Linked DNA regions of Notamacropus eugenii. The protein of the gene in region 2 interacts with the protein of the main gene of each other region in a biochemical or structural test. Links are inferred from orthologs where the notes say so. Each region holds a gene or a part of one and is shown on either strand. Other genes may lie near its edges.

Region 1 (10,366 bases), about 1.4 Mb from region 2:
GCCAAGAGGAGTCTTAAAATCATCTCCAACTCCCTCATGACACAAGGAAAGGGCAGGTCAGAGGTGGGCAGTGACTTTTCTGTGGTCACACAGCCAGTGGAGGAGAATCAGAACATTTGGTCCTGCTCCGATTTCAGAGCCTCCCTGGAGGTGATCTTTGAGGACAAAGGAGGAGTGAGGCCTCCCACATACTGTGGCTTGAATCCTTTACCAGCAGTGGTAGCTACCCACAGTAAGAATCATGGGATCCTCACATGGAAGGGATGCCCAAAGCACAAACTCCAGCCAATTATCTCCAGCCTCTAAGATGCTGGTATGAGAAGGGATCCAAAGGCTCTGCCCCAATTCCACTCTAATTGTCAGGAAGTGAATCCTGCCTTACATGTCTCCCTCAAAGGGGAGATCTGAGACTACCTCACTTTTCCATTTATGCTTGGCATCTCACAAGCATGTAATAAACACTTTACCTTCATCCCATTTCTGATGTGAAGCTGAAGTAGGCATCCCTGAGATTTCCCACTGCCCCTCGTCCTGTCCTGTAGTCCCTTCCCCATGACAGCTAGTGAGAGGCACTAAATTTCATCCCCTCTTGAGTTCCGTGGCATAGTCTCCAGTCCTGTGACCCTGCTGGGCCTGACTGCTCATCTAGCATAGGTGGAAAGGCTGGGTTTGGAACATCACAGGTGCTGTCAGAAGGGGTCTGCATCAGTTTTGCTAAGCATTTTTTTTCTCTTTTGTTCTTTGTTACTAGAGGTGGCTCATTGGGCCAGGGGTGGCCTACACCTTCACTGAGACATGAAAGTAATGTTAAAAAGTCAATACAAATTTAAAACTAGTTCAAAATAAATGCCCAGGGCTGAGTCCCAGCTAACTGTGACCTGCCCTCTGAGCCCCAGGGAGGCTGTTCTGGGGAACACAAGCTTATCCAAGTTCGCTGAGGAGTGCATTTCCTGAGGGGCTGCTTCTGGGAATGGTCAGAGTTCCTGGGGGCAAGCATGAGCCTTCCCCTTCCCTTCTAGCTTTTTCAGGGGGTGGCACAGAAAGAAAGTTCACATTCTATGGTTTGGATCCAATAAAATGATTTCTCACCTGCTAATTAATTAGCTCTTTGGACATGGAGGTCCTCAGGGAACCAGAAAAAATTTTAGGCCTGAGTCAAAATGTGCTGACTCCTGTTCATTTCACAGAAACATGGAATTTCAGGTTTGGACATGACTGTCTAGACCATATCTGAAAAGGAATCCTCACCACAGCAGACACAGCAAAGGACCTGGAAGCAGGGAAGAGTGGTCACTTTCCCAATAAGTCCCATTCCATTTCTGGACACCTGACAGGAGCGTTTTCTGATGTCCAGCTTGAATTTGCCTTCTGATTCTGAGCTGATGAGTTGAATCATTCCACAATTGTGACTATAGCTACCCCCTCCCCAAGTTTTCTCCGGACTGTGCTGAACCACATCACATGGCTGATCCACTCAACTTGCAACCCCTTAAAAACTCATCCTTTTGATTTTTTTTTAAGTTATACTGAATTCAGTTTTTGGACATGAGTTCATATTTATCCCTACTACATTTTATTTTATTAAATTCAACCCAATGTTCTAGCCTGTTGACATTTTTTTTTTTGGTGTCCTGGGAGGGCACCTACCTGTCAGTTTTCCCTCCCAGCTTCAATTACCAGCACATCTGATAAGCATAGTATCAGCTATTTAAGGCTTTAATAGAAACGTTAAATGTTAGAAAGGAAAACATCCCCAGGTGACCAGGCCCTGATTCTTAACTTAGAACCTTTAATGAGCTTAGCTGTTAACTCAGTTCCAAACCTACTGACTTTTATTATCTTATCATCTAAGCCCACATGCCTCCATCTAATCAAAGGTTTTGCTACAGTCTCCAATTGGTCTCCATAGTGCATTCTGTCTGCCAGGTTTGGTGACCTGGGTCAAAAAGAAAGGAAGTAGCCGTTCTTGACAAAAGGCACACATAGCTTAGCTAAATGCCTCTTGGGAACATGCACTCACTGTTCTTGGGGCAACTCGTCATTCTCTTCCTTTTGGGAGGCAGGGGGAGAACTAGAACGAATGTTTGCCCTTCCTGCCATCCATCCTTACCTCCCGTTGTTCCGCTGGCAGTCTCTACGACCAAAAGATGACGTTCTTCGTTCTTACCCTTGGTATCATTCCCTTTCCATCTGTTTCTTCTTGACTCCCTTCCCTGACGCAAGGATGGCTCGATAGCAAGCATGCTTTTATGGCTTATCTCTCAAGCCTCATTCATTTCTGAGATTTAATGCTGGGACCACTATCTGATGACAGCTATCATGGGCTCCTCAAAACCCCCATCCAAACGTAGGGGCAAGTCCACTTGCCAGGATGGGAAGAGTTGACTGGCCAAGATGGATTGCCCTATGAAGCTAAATGGGAAGACAGATCCCTGACTTTCAAACTATGGACCCCCTTCCACACAGTGCTAGGGTTGGAGTAATAAATTTATGGCTCATAGTAATTTAACTTGCCCAGTCTCACAAAGAATCTCAAGCTTATGAGCAGACACGCTTCTCTCCTTACTCTACGTACAAATTACGGGTAAAGATTCCTGACGTTCCCTTTTCTGTAGGTTCAGTATTTTGGATACCCAGGGACACAGGCGTCATTTCCAGGGCCCTGAAGTTTTCTCATTATTGTGTTGTCCTTCAGATTTGTTCCCAACCTCCAGCTGATCTAGGGTACCTTGTGTTGGTTCCCTCCTCCAACTAAAATTTGCCCTCTCAAAAGCGTTTTCAGAGTCCAGCCTTCTGATGAAGCACATTAAAACTACCAAGTTGCACTTTTACTACAAAATAATTTATTGAGTAAGACAGCACAAGACTCCTATATACACACAAAGTACATGACTACCCAACAACTTAGGGACTTTTCCTCTTTTCCTTGGCTTTCCTGACCTCTTCTATCAAATCCTTCAAATACTGAATCTCTTTGCTAAGGGCATCTGCTTTCTCCTTCAAAGCCTCATTCTTTTGTTCTAGCTCTCTGCACTCCCCAGATAAGGCCTCCTGCTCTGCCCGCTTTTTCTGCCTGTATCTCGTGGCAGCAGTTTTATTCTGTTCCATTTTCTTTAGTTTTTTATCTACCTTTTTCTCTTTCTTGTCCTCAAGGGGACGGTCGTATGGTTTCAGGCGGGCTGAGAGAAATGTGGCATCTGAAGAGAGCTGGCTCTCAGTCAGTAAACCCATGTTAGTGGAGGGGCTATGCTGGGGAGAGCCTAGGTAGGACTCGGGGCTGGTACAGGTCCCAATTCCACTGTCATTATCTGAAGGGGGTTCTTCCTCTTTGATGTCCTTAGGCATCACCCCATAAACAGCTTCTGACTTTCTGTCTCCTTCCAAGACATCCACTTCACTACCTAGTTCTAAACTAAAAGAATGGTCTGGCGTGGAGATCAGGGCCATTACAGAAAAGGGAAAAGACGGATGGGAGGTGAGGGGGGTGACATGATCAGGTTCAAGTAGAGTTTCGGGGAACTGGCCAATTGAACTGACTGTTGAAGGGGAATCTTTGTTAGTAGAGGCCAAGGGGTCAAACAGATCACATGAGTCTTCCAACGTGGCAATGAGCTCAGAGCAGGTGGATTCTAGGTCATCCATACCCAACAAGGCATCGAAATCAAACTCCTTCAGATCCATTTTCTCCACCATCCAATCCATGCCGGAGAAGGCATCCTCTGCAAGACAAAGCAGCCCGTGACCCTGTGAGCGGTGACCAGGTGGGACCACGAGCCGCAGCGAGCAGGGGGGCGGGCAGCCTCCGCCCACGGCCCCGCCCCCCACCCCACTCTTACCCTTGCCGTAGTCTGTGGCGTTGACCACACCATCCACAGCCAGCCAATCGGGAGAGACTGCCTTAGCCTGGTCGCTGGGGAGCCCATGCGATTTGAAGGGCTTGGCCTCCTCCAGGTAGTCATCGAAGGGGCTCAGGCTTTCCTCAACCGCCGAACCCGACTGGCTCAAGGGGGACAGCAAGTCCCCCAACCACAGGTCGCTGTTGAGGAAGCTCATGTCCGTCATGCTGCGGGGCTTTCGTCAGTTGGAGGAAGGCAGAGGAGTCTCGGCTGACAGCAATGCTGCTGCTGGAGGCCTTGGAAAGCCTGCAAGAGCCGGGCGCGAGCCGTGAGACCCCCGCCGCCCATCCCCCTCCCCGAGGGCGGGCGGGGCCCCACTTCCGCCCGCAGTCCATGTACGGCTCGAGGCGCCGCCCCGCCCCCGCCGGCCAGAGTGACTCACGCCCCGCCCCGCGGCCCCCCTCCGACCCCCGCGCGGAAGCGCCGGCCATCTTGTCTCCTTGGAGCGCCCTCCCTGCCACGTTTGGCGCTGGCAGCGCGCCCGCGCCAGCCCCTCCCGTCACAAGAGGGGGCTCGTTCTCCCCCGAAGGGGGGCGGCACGGACGCTTTGCATGGGGGAGGTCGGGACTGCGCACTTTTCCCCCAAAACGGGTTTAGAGACAGACAACAGCGCGACCTGTTTCGTTAGTCCGACACGTACGGAACAGACAGCCAAACCAAGCCCGGGAAGCCCGAGGCCCACCTCCCGCGGCCGCTCCCCCTCCCCCCCACTCACGCCATGGCTTCGCGCTCGAGTTTGCCGCTGCAGAGCCCGGAGCTGCTGCCGCCGCCGCTGCAAGGGCCGATGCTGCCGCAGGCGCTGCCGCCTCTAGAACGCCATGGCGGGCGTCGGGGATGGCGAGGGTCGGGCCGAGCCGAGCAGCACGGGAACCACTGAGTCTCTGCTTGGGCGGGCGTGAAAATGGCGGCCGCGCCGGCCTCCAGCGTCTTATACTGCGCGCTACCAGTGACGCGAGCGGCCTCCCCTGCCTAGGTATTCTTCCGCCGGCGTCACGTGGTCGCTCTCCCGGACCTCCGTCGCTCTATGTCTCTCGGTCCCCTTCTCTTCCTCCAGCTCCGGTCACGATTCTCGGCTGCCAAAGAAAGGGAAGAGACAAATGCCTTTTAAAATCTCCCCCAAACTGGCGGAAGGTCAGGGACTATTTTCACAACTCCCCTCCCTTCTCCCCCCAGCGGATTGCGGAAGAATCCAAGACGCGGTCGCTTCACTCCAGCATCCGGGAACGAGGGCGGGGCTGGGAGTGGCTGGGAGGTAGAGCGTGACAATCTATGCGGCGTTGTTTGCATCAATGTGGAGTCGCGAGGAAACTCAGAAATCGCGCGAGACTCGATGAAGAAAGAGGGGCGTGGGTGAGGCCACAGCGCTGATTGGCCGCAGCGGGATGACTCAACCCCTAGCTCGAGCTCCCATTGGTCCAGAGTCCAACGACTGGCGGGTTTGGAAGAAGGCGGCGGGCGCGGGAAGGGGATGGCGTCGGGCGGGCCGTGGCGGCGGGGAGGGGCCCGACAGGTGGCTGGCGACAGTCACTCCCACCCCCACGCAGTCAGGCCCTGGCTAGTTCTGGGTTCCGGCACCACCGGCAGGCTACCCATGGTCCCTGCAGGCTCTGAGGGCCTGGGGCGGCCTCGAAGCCGGATTTCCCATCCCCCACCCCCTTCTTTCTAAGCTCGGGCCGAAGCCCCGCCCCCTCCGGAGACGGGAGGCTGAGGCCTAGGCTGGCCCGGCTCCCGAATTTATTACGGGGGGGAGGGGGAGAAACTGAGGCCCAGTGACCTCCACGCTACGCGGTCCGAGGTGGCTGGTTCTCCTGACCCCCAAGAAGGGCGGGGCGGCTCACCCCGTCGGGTCGGCCTCTTCTAGTTTGAGGCGCCCCTCCTTCGGGGTGGGGGTGGAGGGACGCTCCTTGCCCCCTTAATGGACTGAATTGGACGTCCTCCCACCAGGCGCTCTTCTACCTCTGGTTGGAAAGATTGATTGATTGATCGATCACATTGGGTGAAAGCGAAGAAAGATCAATGTCCAGGCGCAGGGGCACGGTCCCAAAATACCGGCTTCTCTAGAAGGGCCAAGTGGAGGGCCGCTGGTCTAGACAGCTGACTCGAAAGCATCCCCAGGGGTGGGGGTTGTGACAGACTCCCACCCCCACCCAGTCATTGATTCCAAGGCCAAAAACAGCTGTTGCACTCCAGGGGGGCATTTAAGTTAGACGTGGGGAGAGGGAGGGGTGGTCCTTGTCGGGGTGCACTAGAAGAGCGAGCTTAGGAGGGACAGGTTTTAGGGGGTGTCCCTTTAGAACGAAACCGAGAGGGAAGGGAGGCAGATTCGAAGTTGGTGCCGTCCAAACACCGCAGAGCAGCTCTGGGGACAGAAACGGACAAAAATCCGGGGCCTTCGTGCCCTAACAGAGGGAATCCTCTCTTGGAAGGAGGTTGGGGCGGCTTGGACTGGATGTCCATGGATGGGCTCTTCCAACTCTGGGATTGTGAGCCTAGAATTGCTAAGTTTTCCTTGAGTTGCGCTGAGATCTGCCTCCCTCTCCTCACCCTCTGGCACCAAAACAAATTTGATCTCCCTTCCCCTGGCAGCCCATCACATCTCCTTTTTCTTCCCCCCTCCCTCATCCCTATCCCCTCCTCTTTTTCAGGCTAAACACTCCCTGGTCCTGCCAGCTGATCTTTGTTTGGCATGTAATCCAGTTTGCCAAATGTCCTAGTTTTAGAAACAAACAGGATCCCCCAGGTGTAGGCTGACAGAATGAAAGATGGCAGGACTCCCCTCCCTGGTCTTGAACATGGTGCACCTCTTAAATAAATGCATTGTTTCCAAGAGCTTTTTTAAAGGCAGCTGTGTCTTACTGTTGACTCTTGCTTACAAAAATGCCCATACTGTTTGCACAGCAACTGTCTCGCCATGCCTCTGCCATCCATCCTGCCCTTGTGCAGTTGTCCAAATGTAGGGCCTTAACTTTAATCCCTATTCATTGCAATTCACTAGATTTGTTCTATCATCCAAGGCTGTTGAGGTCTTTGGGGACTCATTCTGTCATTCAGCACGTCAGCTCATTGCTAGCTTTGGCATCTGCTGATATCCAGGTCACAGATAAAAATAATCAGCCTCGGGCCTTAAAAGGGTTAGGGTTACTATTCCCTCCAATTGGATCAGTCATCCCCTTCCAAATCCCCCAAATATAGTCTCACCATTATCTCTCTCCTTTTAGTCCATGAGGATGGTGTGAAGGACTGTCAAAATACTTTCCTGAAAACTAGAGAAATGGTGCCTGAATTCACAGACCCATCTCTTCCATATGTCTCAAACTTTACCAGAAACATGTCAAATTCACCTGCCTAGAGTGTGCAGACTGCCCTCTCTTGGAACAGAGTAAGAAATCAGAGGCTGAGAGAGTAGATGGGATTTACCCAGACCAGGTGTGCAGGCAGGTGAGCACCTACCCTGGATTTCCATTTCTGCTCTGCCACTTGCTACCTATAATCTGGAGCCATCACTTCATTCCTTGGGGGCATCAGTTCTCTCCTCTGAAAAACTGGTCCTAGGCAACCTCTCAGGTCTTCCCCCTCCCCTCAGATTCGGAAAGTATTTTTTTCCACTAGTTAGAAGCAGCATGGAATCTCAGCCAGGAGGTGGGTTCAGATCCCAACACTGACAAGTCACCTTCCTCCTCTGGGTGATCACGTGACCTCCAAGGGTCCTGCCAGCCCTGAATCCTGGAGAATCACTCTACCTTCTCTGGGTCTGTTTGTTGTTGCCCAATGACGTGGGCTCTGATGATTGCAAATCCGGTGAACCAATGGTAGTCACTGTTAAAATGTGTGGGGTGGGGGGAGTGGTTTTAACTAGGTAACCTCAAAGTTCCCCTTTGGTTCAAAAAGCCCATGATCCCTCCTGGCCCATTTCCTAGACCTGCTACCCCTTTATAATATAATACAGTAGCTGACTGTACCTGCCTTCACTTGAGACTGAAAAGAAGTAAGGGAAAGAAACCATGCCAGATCCCCCTTAATTAGGTCTTTATTGAGACTCCACGGATATGTCAAGCCTTAAACTAAGGGTTAGTGCAGATGAGACTGAAGACATTGATCACCCCTTGTATAGTTAAGGGACCTAAGTTCAAATTCTGCCTTTTTGTTTCCTTACAGTGACTAGATATAAAATGGGAGGGGGGGACCTCCATGACCTCAAATCTCTCCCAGCTCTAAATCTTATGAACCAACTTCAACTTGGAAACTGTGTGCTAGAGGGGGAAGGTTAATGGCTCCAGGTACAAATTCTGGCTTTGTCATATCACCTGTGCAGGTAACATTGACTAGTCATCCTCTGGGCCTCCATTTCCTTATGTGTAAAATAAGGACTAAGGTCCCTTCCAGCTCTAAACAATTTGCAGTGGTCTCATATCAGTACTCAAAAGAGGGAGTCGGCTCATTTGGAGTGAAAATGGCAATGGGGGTGGAGGGAATGGAAGGGGCCGAGGATGGCTGCATGCAATGTCCCGATTTCTGTAGTCTATTCATCAGTTTTTCTGGGAAAGAGAAATTTCCATCCCCAATTAGGGAGCAAGTTGGTAGGCAGCTTGGGGGGGAGGGGGCATCTTCTGGTCCTGTTCTGAACTTAGGGTCCAGGGATTTCCTTTGTACATCTGTGGGTTTTATTTGGGTCACTTGTGAGTAATTCTGAGAAAAGGTCCATGCCTAGGAGGTGTTGTTTTTGCACTGGGACATTTCAAGGAAACCATACTTGGTCCAATTCAACATGTGTCTTCCCTCCTTAGAATCCGGGGGTGGGTGTGTGTGTGTGTGTGTGTGTGTGTGTACATGAAGAATAACCACTCTGTATGTAGACACAGAGATTCTGAAACATGGGAACAGGAACCATGTGATCTTTCTGAATTACTGCAAAGTCCTACAAAAATTAATGCTGCACATCGCCAAGTAAAGGGGTTCTCTCCTTGGCTCCCAACACTCCTTACCAAGCCACTTTTTAAGCTGCAAAGGGAAAGGATGGGGACACTACAGTCAACTGCCTGGTCCTGAAGGAAGACCTCCTTGGGTTAAAGGAAAGACCCTCAGATGGGAGATCAGAGGAACCTGCCCTACCCATACCAGTAGCCTCCAGACATGGAGAAAATAGGTTTGATCTACATCAAACACAAAAGTCAAATCTGGTGCAAAGAATGTTTTTATTTTACGTTCCCACTCTTTCAAAGGTCATCAACTCCCTTAGCCTTGATGTTTGAAGGGAGGAGAAAAGACAAGGTGCTGGGCAGGACTGAGTAGAACACTTACCCAGACACCCCCCAACCCCAACCAGCCCAGATGTGTTTGTAGATCAAGGACTGCATATACTGCACTCCACAGAACAAAAGGCAGTTTGTGAGCTTGGTCAGAAGCCCTGCAGGTCACAGGGCAAATGAGCTTCCAGAGATGGTGACCGAGGAGACATTTTCAGCACCCTACGTCCTGCTGTCCTGGTTCTCTGCTCAGCTATCACTAGGTCTTGCAAGGGCTGAATCCTCAGGGCAGAGAAGTGATGGGCATCTGCTTCAAGCTGGGGAAGCCTAGTCTGGCCTGTCCCACTCCCAACCAGGAAAGGAAAGTCAGTCTCTCTAGCAGGCCAATTTTAGGGCCAGGGCCATTGTTTTCCAGCCCCCCTGCCAGGACCCACTGCACCTTTGCTCTCCCCAATGAAGCAGCAGCAAAGGAAGCAAAAGGAGCAGGTAAGGGGACTAGTGGAGATGGTGGCCAACCCTTTCATCAGGAGCATGGACTTAGAAAGTACTAGTTACTTCTTTCCTTTAATGATAAAAATGCCTCAAACAAACATGGGTTGGGGGGAAATGCCCACTATTACCCTAAATTTCTGGGGGTTAGGCCAAGGCAGAACCCCAAAACCTCATTGATTTGGGTTTCTGAGACATGAAGTCAGGTCAAATAAACTCGTTCAAGAGGAGAGGTGCTTGTGCCAGCCAAGAACTTTTCCAGGATCAGCTGTTACTGCAAACAGAGCCGATGTGGGGGCTTGCTGAAGGGAAAGCAGTACCTTGGCCCCCCTCAACCTGGAATTCTTCTACCCTCCCCTTCATCAGTCAATAGCTTTGTGTCCAATAGAACCATTACCCAAAGACTTTCTTTTTGATCCTATGGGCTATTACCTGACTGTACGGCAAGATCATCTTGTCTGAATCTGAAGATATATTGGAATAATTCTTCCTAAATGGATGAAGCGGTTCACATTCACACACACTTTTCCCCTCTTGAGAAATGCCTTTACTTCACCAGAGACCCTGGGACCTGATTTTACTGGTTTGGTTTGTTTTTGAAGCTTTGTATTTAATACTGAGGTGCTACTAATGTACAGCTGATTTGGAGACACAGGCTAGAGGGGAAACTGGAGACTTCAAATACCTTATTGGGTGGATCTTTCCAGTCCCCTGAGGAAGGTGCATTCTCATCCTTCC
Region 2 (10,643 bases):
TTGTCACATCACCACTTAGCCCTCTTCTCTCTTGATGAAAACCCCACTCCAATCCCTATCCCCCTCAGCTGCCAGATAGATCCTTCCAAAATGCAGATCTGACCAACTCATCTAACTCCCAGTTCAATCAACTCCAGTGTCTCCTTTAATGCAAGTGCCACCTTTCTTTAATCCAAGACAAGCATTATCTATGTTGATCTACACTAGCGAGGCATGAAGTACTCCTTCTGCACAACAAATACATGCATATGAAATCCAAACATGAAAACTGTACAAAGTCAACTGATACCATCAGAGCTTTCCAAAAGCTTTGATATTCTTTTAAAATGGTGAGTGATCCCTGCAGCTCAATATTCCATCTCTAAATCTTCTCTTCATTCAAAGCTCCTCTAAAATCATGGTCAGACTTCCCTAATCTGTGACTTGTGTGGCATTGGATCAATCAGCACCCACCATCAGTCAAGAGGGTCAGAGTGGGGTTTCCTAGATTTCAGTAGGAAGTTCAAACTTTTAGGTTCTACAATCAATCTGTATGTTCTCTCTATATCTGATGAGTTATGAATACCATTTAGAATAAATTTAAGCCTACGGAAAAGGCTCTGTTGTAATGGTTTTTCAAGAGATACGTGTACTTGAACTTGACGGTAGATTTTAGTTATTTTTTAAGCACTAATATCGGTCATTTCAGTAACTCTGTCAAGAAAGCCTTCCATCCAAAAATTATTACTGGGGCCTAAATTCACTTTCTCACCTGTTTACCTCCAAGTCCAGCACTAACTTGAAGCAAGTTCCCGTTGGTTCCAAGCCACGATGTTCAAGTAGAAGTCTAACATTCTCTCAGTTCTAAAAAAGCAACTGATATAAGTCACTCAAATCAAGCAGGGAAAAACAAGCTCTTGGACAAACTTCAGCTAAAAAGAAGACCTGGAACCATACTAAGGCCATACTATGCTCCTAGTACTAACTGTGCTGATACACATCTGGGACAGTCTCATTCAAAGGCTAAGCCATTTAACCCGGGCTGGGCCATTGCACATGCTTTGACCTTCGGCAAATCAAGGAACCAACCTGGGCTTTCAGTTTCTTAATCTATTATCATTTTCACTTGCCTGTCAAAATTCCTGGACAGTAGGTTACTACAAAGGCACACTTTTTAACAAGGGAACTGAATTATCAAAAAAGAAAAAATTTCCTGGCATTAGGCTCCACTCAAATCCATCTGCAATGCCACTGGCAATTATGTCTCCAAAGCAATTCTCAGCACAGTGAACAGTTTTAGTTTGTAAATTATCACCAACACAGGTGACTCATTTCTTCTAAAGTTGAAATATAGAATTTGAAGTTAGAAAAAGGCCAAAGCTAAAAAAAGACGTTGGTTGCCAAAGTATTGAAAACTACCTGTAAGTTGGAAAACACTGGATATTAAAATGCAAAAGGATTTATTTTATGAATTATGTTATGTCAAACTTACAAGCTTCCTTTCTTAAAAGACAAAATTTTAGCAAAGTTAAAATATTAGCAAAGACCTCTTACTCCTCAAGAGGGTGGCTGGGGGAGGTGAGAAACACATCTTAAGGTCAAAACTAGAGAAAGACGAAGCAAGTGGAGCAAAATGAAAACCTCATATGATGAGCAAAGATATTTATTCAAATATTGAGTCAACAAAATTTATAAAAATAACTCGTGAACACATTTAGAATTCTCTCAATCATCCAAAGGGATCAAAAGTGGCAATATAGTTTGCATGTCAAAAATAGACAGGGGGAAATTAGATAATATCCAGTCTATAGACTAAAATCCTGAAAAAAAGAGGCCAGGTACTTACTTCACTCCCACATTACAAGAGGGAGAACTCCAAAGTTCTGTACTCTCAGCACTCCAAGGCTAAGCTTGCCAGTCAAAATTAGCCAACAAAAAAAAATTCAGAAGGAAACCATTTGTTGGACCTTTCTAAACCAGGGATCACTATGAGCAAGTTTCTAAAATCTTTTACACCATAACTAAAATTGAATAAGGAAATCACTTAAAAAGTTATTTAGTGAAGTTAGATCGAGACAGACAATTCAACAGATGAAAGTTACGTCTTTAGTGAGCTCCTGAAAGTCAACTGAAACATTCAGGTAGCCACTATTAAGGATGCCAATTACTGTGTAAAATAAGAAAATTTCAAGTAGTAAGAAGTGAATCAAAGTTAAAGCACCCCCACTCCCCCAGGATAAGTGGCTTGGCACAGAGTAGGCACCTGAATAAACCATTTCTATTCATAACTAGAATTAGCTTATTGGAGATTAGCATTCTAACCTGCAAAAATTAAGAACTTGGATTCTTGTGAATACATATTTTTTAGAGAAATTATTTACCTAAAATTCTTTCTCATCTGTAAAATGTATGAAGAAACCAAAATATCTTCCCAGGAGGTCTGTGCTCACCAACATACCCAAATTTCAAAGTAAATGATTTGTAAATCAGGCCCTATTATTAACAAAGGCACATCTACATAGTGATATCCACATGTATTCTAGGGTTCATACATGCTCCACTGTTTTTTAAATGAACTTGGTAGATCCGCAATTCAAGAATCAAATTTGGAATGCCTTTCAAGAATGGAAAAATACATGTTTAAGAACAGCAGTGTACCTCCTTTATAATCCCCTCCTCCTTTTGAATACCATCGGAGAGAAGGTTCTTCAGATGCAACGAACCCAGTCTTAACCTTTAAAACCAATGCCCAATATCAAAGTTCTCCTACACTCCTATTAACCCCATCTCAAGCATTTGTCAAATTCCCATTCTCCCACTGTAAAATGGTGTCTATATCCCAAAAGGCTAGGTAAAATTCTCTCCAAACTTGAGGATTTTAAAGTCATTTAGCAAAATAAACGCCCATCCTTCCATCTTGGCGGACACGATGCACTGTGTCCATCTATTCCCATCGAGCTGTTTCAGATGTTCCCAAACTAGCGCCTGATCGAGACCGACCCTTCACGGCGGGAGCAACAAGGTCTCCCTTACTGTCAGATGGCCAGCCATTTTTCCTCTTCATTTTCCTGGCAGCTCCAACTACACAACAAGGAACAAGGAGACCGGTGGCCATCAGGGTGGGAGACGGCAAGAGGGTCTCCGAATGTCTCTATCGACACACAAACCACGCCGAGCCCAAAACAGAGTGAAACACCGAGAACTGCGAATGCTAAAAACCTGAACTAGGCATCTTGAACCGAGTCGAAGCATCCAAAAAATCTAAACCACTCCTTGCCAACTAAGTTCCAGTGCAACCAGTTCGTGGTTTCTTGGATCCTGGGAAACCCGCAGCTTCGCCTTCAACTTCCAGCCTGCCTTTCGGGGCCCCCGCTCCCTAAATCTGTACGTCGCTCCCCAAACCCAAAAAAGCCGATAGAAGACAGTCTAGAGCCAGCAGGTCCACCCGCCCCCCCGAAAAAAGCCAAACTAACCCTTGTCCTCGCTCTTCCTCAACCTGCTGAGCCTAAAGGAGCTTCAGACATTTTGGTCTGAGCAAGCGAAGCCACGGGAGATGCAGAGCAAGCTCGGCCCGTGCATACTCCATATTGATTCCGAACGCCAGTGGCAAAAAACCCGAACCGAGGATTACGGGGCAAGGGGAAGGCGAAGACGCCCCGCACGTCCAGCCTCGGAGACTCAAGGTCCACAGCGAAAATACTCAAGGAGGCAGGGACCATTTCAGCCCAGATCCAGGAAAGAAGGGGAAGGGAGGAAAAAGTAGGAAGTGGGGAGGAAAACCAGCCGTGCGGGCGCTGGGGGTGGGGGGGCGAGGGAGACTCAGGGCCCGGAAGGCGACGGGCTCCCGCAGCCCGGCCAGGAGACGCAGCTTCCCGGGCCATTGGGGGCCCACCCCCCCAACCCCCCCACCTCCCCACCCCGGCAGGGGCCGCGCACCTGGGGCCGACCGGACTGACCTGTGCCATCGCTGGCGGCCACAGAGAGGGCCGGGGACGCGAGCTTGGGCCGCTTGGGGGCGGGCGGCCCGGGCTCCACCACGTTCTCGGCCATGGCTGCGGGCTGCGGGCCGCGGGCTCCGCTGGGCTGGGCTCGGCTCCGCTCCGCTCGGCGCTCGCTCGCTCTCTGGCTCTCGCTCGCTCGCTCGCTCGCTCGCTCCGGCTCCGGCGGGCACACTCACGCACACTCACACTGGCTCCCACGCACGCTCACGCTCACGCACGCTCCCCCCCTAGTGGCGGGGCCGGCGCGGCTCCCGGCCGCTCGTCGGGGCGCTGGCGGGGCTGGGGCCTGCGGGGCGCCATGGGCCGCGGCCTCGTCGCCGTCTTCATCGCCGGCCCGGGGGCTCGTCGCCGGGGGTCGGGTCGGGCCGGGCCGCCGCCTCACATCGTGCTGCCGCTGCCGCCGCTGCTGCTGCCTCTCCGGCGGCGGCGGCGGCTCGGGCCGGGCCGCGCCGCGGGGCCTCCTCCGCCCGCCTCCGCCTCCTCCTCGGCCTGGGCCTCGCCTCCGCCTCCTCCGGGGCCGGGCCGCGCACCCAAACAAAATGGCGGCTGTTGTTCGTCCGCGGCGCGGCGCTCGGCTGCGCGGCTCCGGCTGCGCTGCGCGGCGCCCGCTCGGCTCGGCCCGGGCCCCGCCTCGCCTCGGCCGCGCTCGGCTCGGCTCGGCTCGGCTCGGCCGCCTCGGCTCGGCTGCGCTCGGCTGCGCTCGCTTCGGCTGCGCTCCGCTCTTCTCCGTCCGCTCCGCTCGGCCTAGTCCTCCCTCTTCCTCCTCCTCTTCCTCCTCCCCCAGCCCTCCTCCTCCGCCTCCGCCTCCTCCTGCTCCTCCTGCTCCCAGGCGAGCGCCGGCGGCGGCGGCGGCGGCGGCGGCGGCGGCGGCGGCGGCAGCAGCAGCAGCAGCAGCAGCGGCGGCGGCAGCGGCGGCGGCGGCCGGGGCAGCAGCAGCAGTAGCGACGGCGGGGGCCGGAAATGAGCCAAGGGGGAGGGGGGCAGGGGGCGGGGCCGGAGGCGGACGGACGGACGGCGGCGGGGGGAGGGAACCCGAGGAGAAGGGGCGGGGCCTGCCCCCCCTCGGATAGGCTCGCACAATGGGCACCGAGAAGGCCGCAGGAGGCGGGGCACTGGCCGAGCCCGGGACCGCCCCCTCCTCGCCTTCCCCCCGCCCGCCCGTCGACAACGCGCAGGGGGCTTCCGCAAACTCCCCAAGCGAGCGTCATTCTTAAAGGGGAGGAGCGGAAGGGGGGGGGGGGTAAGGAGGAATTTAAAGTCGGAGGGTAAGGACGGCGCGGGAGTTGCTGGCGCTGGCCTCCGCTGGGAGAGAGGAGAGGAAGGTGCTACGCCCTGAAATGAGCCCAGGCACTGCGCAGGGGGTTGCCTCCTAATGCGCCCCTGTCCGTCCTCCACCCCCTCCCACCTAGCAGACCCCTATTCCTGGCTCCTGCCGCCCCCACCCCCAGGCCTGATTAATAAAGAAAGAATGACATGTAATTAATCGGAAGCGCCCGCCCGCCCCCCGCAGGCCACTCCGGCCAACCCCGCCCTGGTCCGGCAGGTGTTGCCCCTAGGAAAAGCCGAGACTCGAGCCAGTGCGCCAGCCTCGGGGCCGAGGTGGGCACGGAGGGCCGCAGCACTTTGGGAGGGTTACTGGTAAATAGAGCTGGAAGAGATCGCGCCGACTGACTGCCTCCGTGCCGCTCCTTTTACAGAGCAGGAAACTGAGGCACGGGCAGGGGAGCGGTTTGTGATAGCCCAAAGCCCCGCTGGTAGTACGGAACCTGGATCCGCTGCAGCCGGAGCCTAATGCACTTTCCTCCCCCTCCCCCAGACCCACCCCTGTTTTTCCATTTGACGTGGATTATCTGAGACTCTTAACTTGCCATCCGTGATCACAGCACTTCAGTTACACTCCTCTATGTTTTATTTTATTCACTGAATGACATGACTCGGAGAAGGGACATAAACAGCATGAAGAACCCTTGGTTTTGACACCCTTCCTTGGATGGAGGGAGCGGCAGGGGGCCGAAGGAACAAGCATTTATTAGAGCCTACTATGTGCCATGCGCTGTTCTAATACTTTACAAATAGAATCTTTGTAAGTATGGACTGGGATCCAGGCAGAGGACCTAAGCTGAAGCTGTTACTGTTTGAGAGAGCTTGGCAAGTCATCATCCCCTTGGTACAAACGAGAGTCAGAGGACAAGAAATCAAAGCCTTCCCCTGGCACTTAATACTTATATGACCCCTGCGCATATCTCCTCCAGTCTCACAAAAACCCAAACTTGAGGGTGTTGGACTAGGTGGTTTTGGAAGGTCCCTCCAGCTTTCTATGATCCCTGTTTCCTGTTCTACAAAATGGAGGTTAAAGAGAAGATAGTGGGCTTCCCCTCCTCCCTTGGTTTTAGGTCTTTAATCAAAGTCGGTATGACCACCTGTCAGGTGTGTGATAGAGGGAGGGGATTCGATTCAGAGATTTGACCAAGAGGGCCCCTGGAGACCCTTCTGCCTCTGATTCTTTGCAATCACTAGGCTGAGAGGACCTCCTGCCTCCAAAGTATGGAATCCTAGGATTGTCCACATGGCCTCCGACAATGAAAAGAGCCTGGAACTTAGATTCTGGATAAACCAAAGTTTAAATTTTGTCCCTGTCATCTCTTAGTTGTGTACTCATGAGCAAATTGCTCTTTGTCTCAGTCTCCTCCTCTGTAAAATGTCTAAAATAAAACTTTAAAGTGCCTGTGTTTGTAACCCCATTGATTAGCACATACTGAGCACAGGATAAATGTTTTTCATTCATACCTGCATTCATACCTGCTTCACTAGGTGCTCAGGAGGTTCAAATGATATAATGGATATAAATTGATATAATGGACATAAATTCAGTATGCAGAGAAAATAGAAATCTCAGACTATGTATTTTACAGCTGCTGGTTGGGGCCTTCTCTAAGAAGAACATTTTCTTGCCTCCTTTAATAACATTTCCTGGCTTTCTTTAAGCCCCACCTCAGTTCCCAGTTCTTCAGGAAGCTTTCCCCAACCCCTCTTCATTCCAATGCCTTCCCTCTCTTAATTATTTCCTATTTATCTTGTATATAGTTTGTACATATTTGCTTGTTGTCTTCCCCACCCACTCACCTCCTGAGAACTAAGTGTTGGTCCTGGAACATGTTGTTCAGTTGTTTCAGTCCTATCAGACTCTTCCTGACCCCATTTGGGGTTTTCCTGGCAAGAGATACTGGAGTGGTTTGCCATTTCCTTCTCCAGCTCAATTTTACAGATGAGGAAACTGAGGCAAACAGAGTGAAATGTCTTGCCCAGAGTCACACAGCTAGTTAAGTGTCTGAGACCTGATTTGAACTCAGGGAAGTTTGAACTTCCTGACATCAGGCCTGGCGCTCTAGCCACTGTATCAGCTAGCTGCCCTGGTAACTGCCCTGACTGACTAGCACTTAGCAATCACTTAATAAATTCTTGCTGAATGATCTATTCAGGAAGCTAAGGCCTTGAAGTAGGAGAGGATTTGGCCAAGATCACATAGCTATTGAGAAAGCATTGGGATTAGAACCCAGTTCCTCTGATCCAAATCCGAGGCTCTTTCTATTACACAAGTTCTTTTCCTGCAAAGGGAAGAAAATAGTAATGACTAGGATATAGAGCACCTACTACGTACCAGGCAGTGTGCTCAGTGCCTTCCAGTTCTCTCATACGATCCTCACAACAACCTGGTGAGGGAGGTGCTATTTTGTCCCCAGTCTGCAGCTGAAAAAACTGAGTGACTTGCCCAGGGTCATTGGGCCAGTAAGTGTCCCTTCCAACTCCAGGCCCCACTCCCTCCACATATCTCCCCTAGGGAAGGAGCAGGTAGACAGTGGTAAGAAGGAAAAGCAAGGAATTTGTTTCACTGAGATGACATCAGAACAGTGGTTAAAGAAAAAAAAAGTCCTCATTTCTAACCCTTCCCCCTGGATTTACTGCTCTGCTCCCCTGGGAGTTTCAGGACTCCAGAGAAGCCTGACATTTCTAAACTTTGGGCCATAAGATCATAAAATTTAGGAGAAGACCATCAGGCCCAACTCCCTCATTTTACAGAGGAGGAAACTGAGGCCCACAAAGGGGCATTGACTTGCCCCAAGGTCGCCCCCCTGGTAAGTTTTAAAACAGCAATTCAGGGGCAGCTAGGTGGTACAGTGGATAGAGCACCAGGCCTGGAATCAGGAGTACCTGAGTTCAAATGTGGCCTCAAACACTGACTGTATGACCCTGTACAAGTCACTTGACCCTGATTGTCTCATTTAAAAAAAATAAACAGTAATTGAGTCCAACCACAAAGCCAAGTTGCTTACCATTTACCAAGTTGCTTTTCTGTCCCTGCTCTTGCTCTGTACAAAGCTGCTTCTTTCCATTCAAACTGTAACCAGCAGGGTTTCTGCTTCTCAGCCATCCTATTTCCCCTTCCCCCCACCTCATGCATAAACTCTCCACATTGAAAAGTTACTGTCAGTGTGGTTTGCAATTACTTCTTTATGACGGTTTCAGCCCATTTGAACATTTCTACTCAGATCTCTTGACTCGCTAAATCACACATAGAGACCTGGTGTTGGCTGTGCTTATGTGGCAAGTAGACAGAATGGGACAGAAGTATCCTTGGGGTGACCCACCAGTTGGAAGTTATGGTCATGTAAAATATGGTCATTGGTTGAAGCCTAATGAAAATATGAAATATGAATTCAAATAATATGGCCACTTGTCTGGAATTCCTCTACAGCACTAATCAAGACCTATGATCTTACAATTTTTTTAAAAGGCTAGGTGCTAGGCCCTATGGGCTACAAAAAACAAAACCAAAACAAGTTTTCTGTTGGGGAAAACAACTTGAACACAGATAAATAGAGTAACTAAAAAATAATTGCAGTGATTGAGGAGATCAGAAAAGGTCTCAGGTAACTGGAGGCTGTTGAACTGAGCCTCTAAGAGGCAGAGGTAATGAGGGAGGGCATTCTGGGCAGGAGGGACAGCTTGGGCAAAGCTAAGGAGTTGGAAGATGAAATGGCACATTCAGGAAATGGTATAAATCAGTCATATTGATGTGTTAAGTGCCTACTGCATGCCAGGCACTCTGTTAAATTTTAGGGATACTAAGATAAAAATATGGAACCTGCCTTCAAGAAGATCACATTCCAAGGCAGGAGACAATACGTACATAACTAGGTATATAGGTATATTCATCATGTATACAGATTAGATGAAGAGAAATTAGAAAGGACTGGGGGGTGAGGAGGGGGGAGAGTGGAGGATGAGAAAGGGTCCCCTGCAGAGAGTGCATTTTGAACTGAGCTTTGAAACATGCCAGAGAAACTTAAAAGGTGAAAGTGAGAGGGCAAAGCATACCAAGTGGAGGGGACAGCCAGTACAAAAGTGCAGAGGTGGGAGATGAGGTATCAAGTGAAAGGAACAACAAGGCAATATGGCTGGCTGGTGGGATTTCATGGAGTAGGAACCACGTGTAAGGTAACAGCAGAGGAAGAGGTCAGGTTACGAAGAGCTTTAAAACTAAAGAGAAGACTTTATATTTGATCATGGAGGTCAGAGGGAATCACTGGAATATATCAAGTGTGAGAAGAGGAAGATATGGGGGAAGAGGACATAGTCAGACAGATCTACACTTGAGAAAAGTCATGTTAGCACAAGGGGAGGATGGATGCAGGGGTGGGGAACCTGGGGCCTGGAGGCCTCATCTGACCCTCTAGGTCCTCCCCTTTGACTGAATCCCCTTTGAAGGGGATTTGTTCTGTGAAGTTTGGGTGGATGGATGGATGGATGGATGGATGGATGGATGGATGGATGGATGAATGGGTGACTGAATAGACAGATCAATCAATCAAGGGATAGAATGGACATTAATTAAGTGCCTATACTATATACTAGGCACAGTGCAAAACCCTAGGGATACAAAAACCAGAAAACAAGAAAGTCCCTACTCTTGAAGATCTTACATTTTAATGAAGACAAACCATAAAGGCGAGCTGAAAAAGTGAGGGAGAGAGAAGGAGAGTGCCAACCTGAGACTCAGGCAGTCAGTGGGGCAAGATGGGGTAGGCTGGAGGCAAGGTGGAAATAGAAATTTTACAGCATCACTGGTCTTTCTCAAGATGTGGTAGTCCCAAGCTGAGGCTCACCAATCACTGAGTCTGGCCTTAAAGGTGTTGTACTCTACAAGGTGTGATTATGCCAACTGATGCTCCATCTGACACTTTATTTTGGACTTAATGTCTCCTGTGGACTGTGAACTCTCTATGTTTGGAGTCCTTTTGTCCACTGATATCACAGTAGGGATGACAATAAGCCGGCTGACTCAACTGAAGATTGAACAAAGGATAGAAATAAACACTTCTCAAAGGAAGAATTGAAAACTATATGAAACCTTGCTCCAAATCACTGATAAAAAGAAATATCTGATAAAAAATTTTTTTAAAAGGAATATACATGAGAGGAACTGTGAGGTATCATCTCACATACCCCAAATTGGCAAAGAAAAAAGTTGGAAATAGTTCATTTTGGAGGGGCTGTGGAAAGACAGGCACACTAATAATCTGTTGGTAAAGGTGGGAATTAGTCTAACCATTCTAGAAAAAAATTTGTCATTATGCTAAATATCATAAAATGAATAAAATATCC

Evidence for each region.
Region 1: the proteins of EP300 (region 2) and ATF4 form a complex in vitro, tested with the Homo sapiens proteins (3 studies listed by BioGRID). The link is inferred for Notamacropus eugenii from reciprocal best matches to the Homo sapiens genes EP300 and ATF4.

Annotation. Positions count from the first base shown.
Region 1 is NC_092874.1:298,749,291-298,759,656, reverse strand, and holds ATF4 (cyclic AMP-dependent transcription factor ATF-4), read right to left. Parts: upstream 4,750-10,366; 5' UTR 4,612-4,749; intron 4,143-4,611; 5' UTR 4,063-4,142; coding exon 3,837-4,062; intron 3,720-3,836; coding exon 2,905-3,719; 3' UTR 2,821-2,904; downstream 1-2,820. UniProt on the Homo sapiens protein: Transcription factor that binds the cAMP response element (CRE) (consensus: 5'-GTGACGT[AC][AG]-3') and displays two biological functions, as regulator of metabolic and redox processes under normal cellular conditions, and as master transcription factor during integrated stress response (ISR).
Region 2 is NC_092874.1:300,162,544-300,173,186, reverse strand, and holds the start of EP300 (histone acetyltransferase p300), read right to left. Parts: upstream 4,207-10,643; 5' UTR 4,030-4,206; coding exon 3,936-4,029; intron 1-3,935. UniProt on the Homo sapiens protein: Functions as a histone acetyltransferase and regulates transcription via chromatin remodeling. Acetylates all four core histones in nucleosomes. Histone acetylation gives an epigenetic tag for transcriptional activation.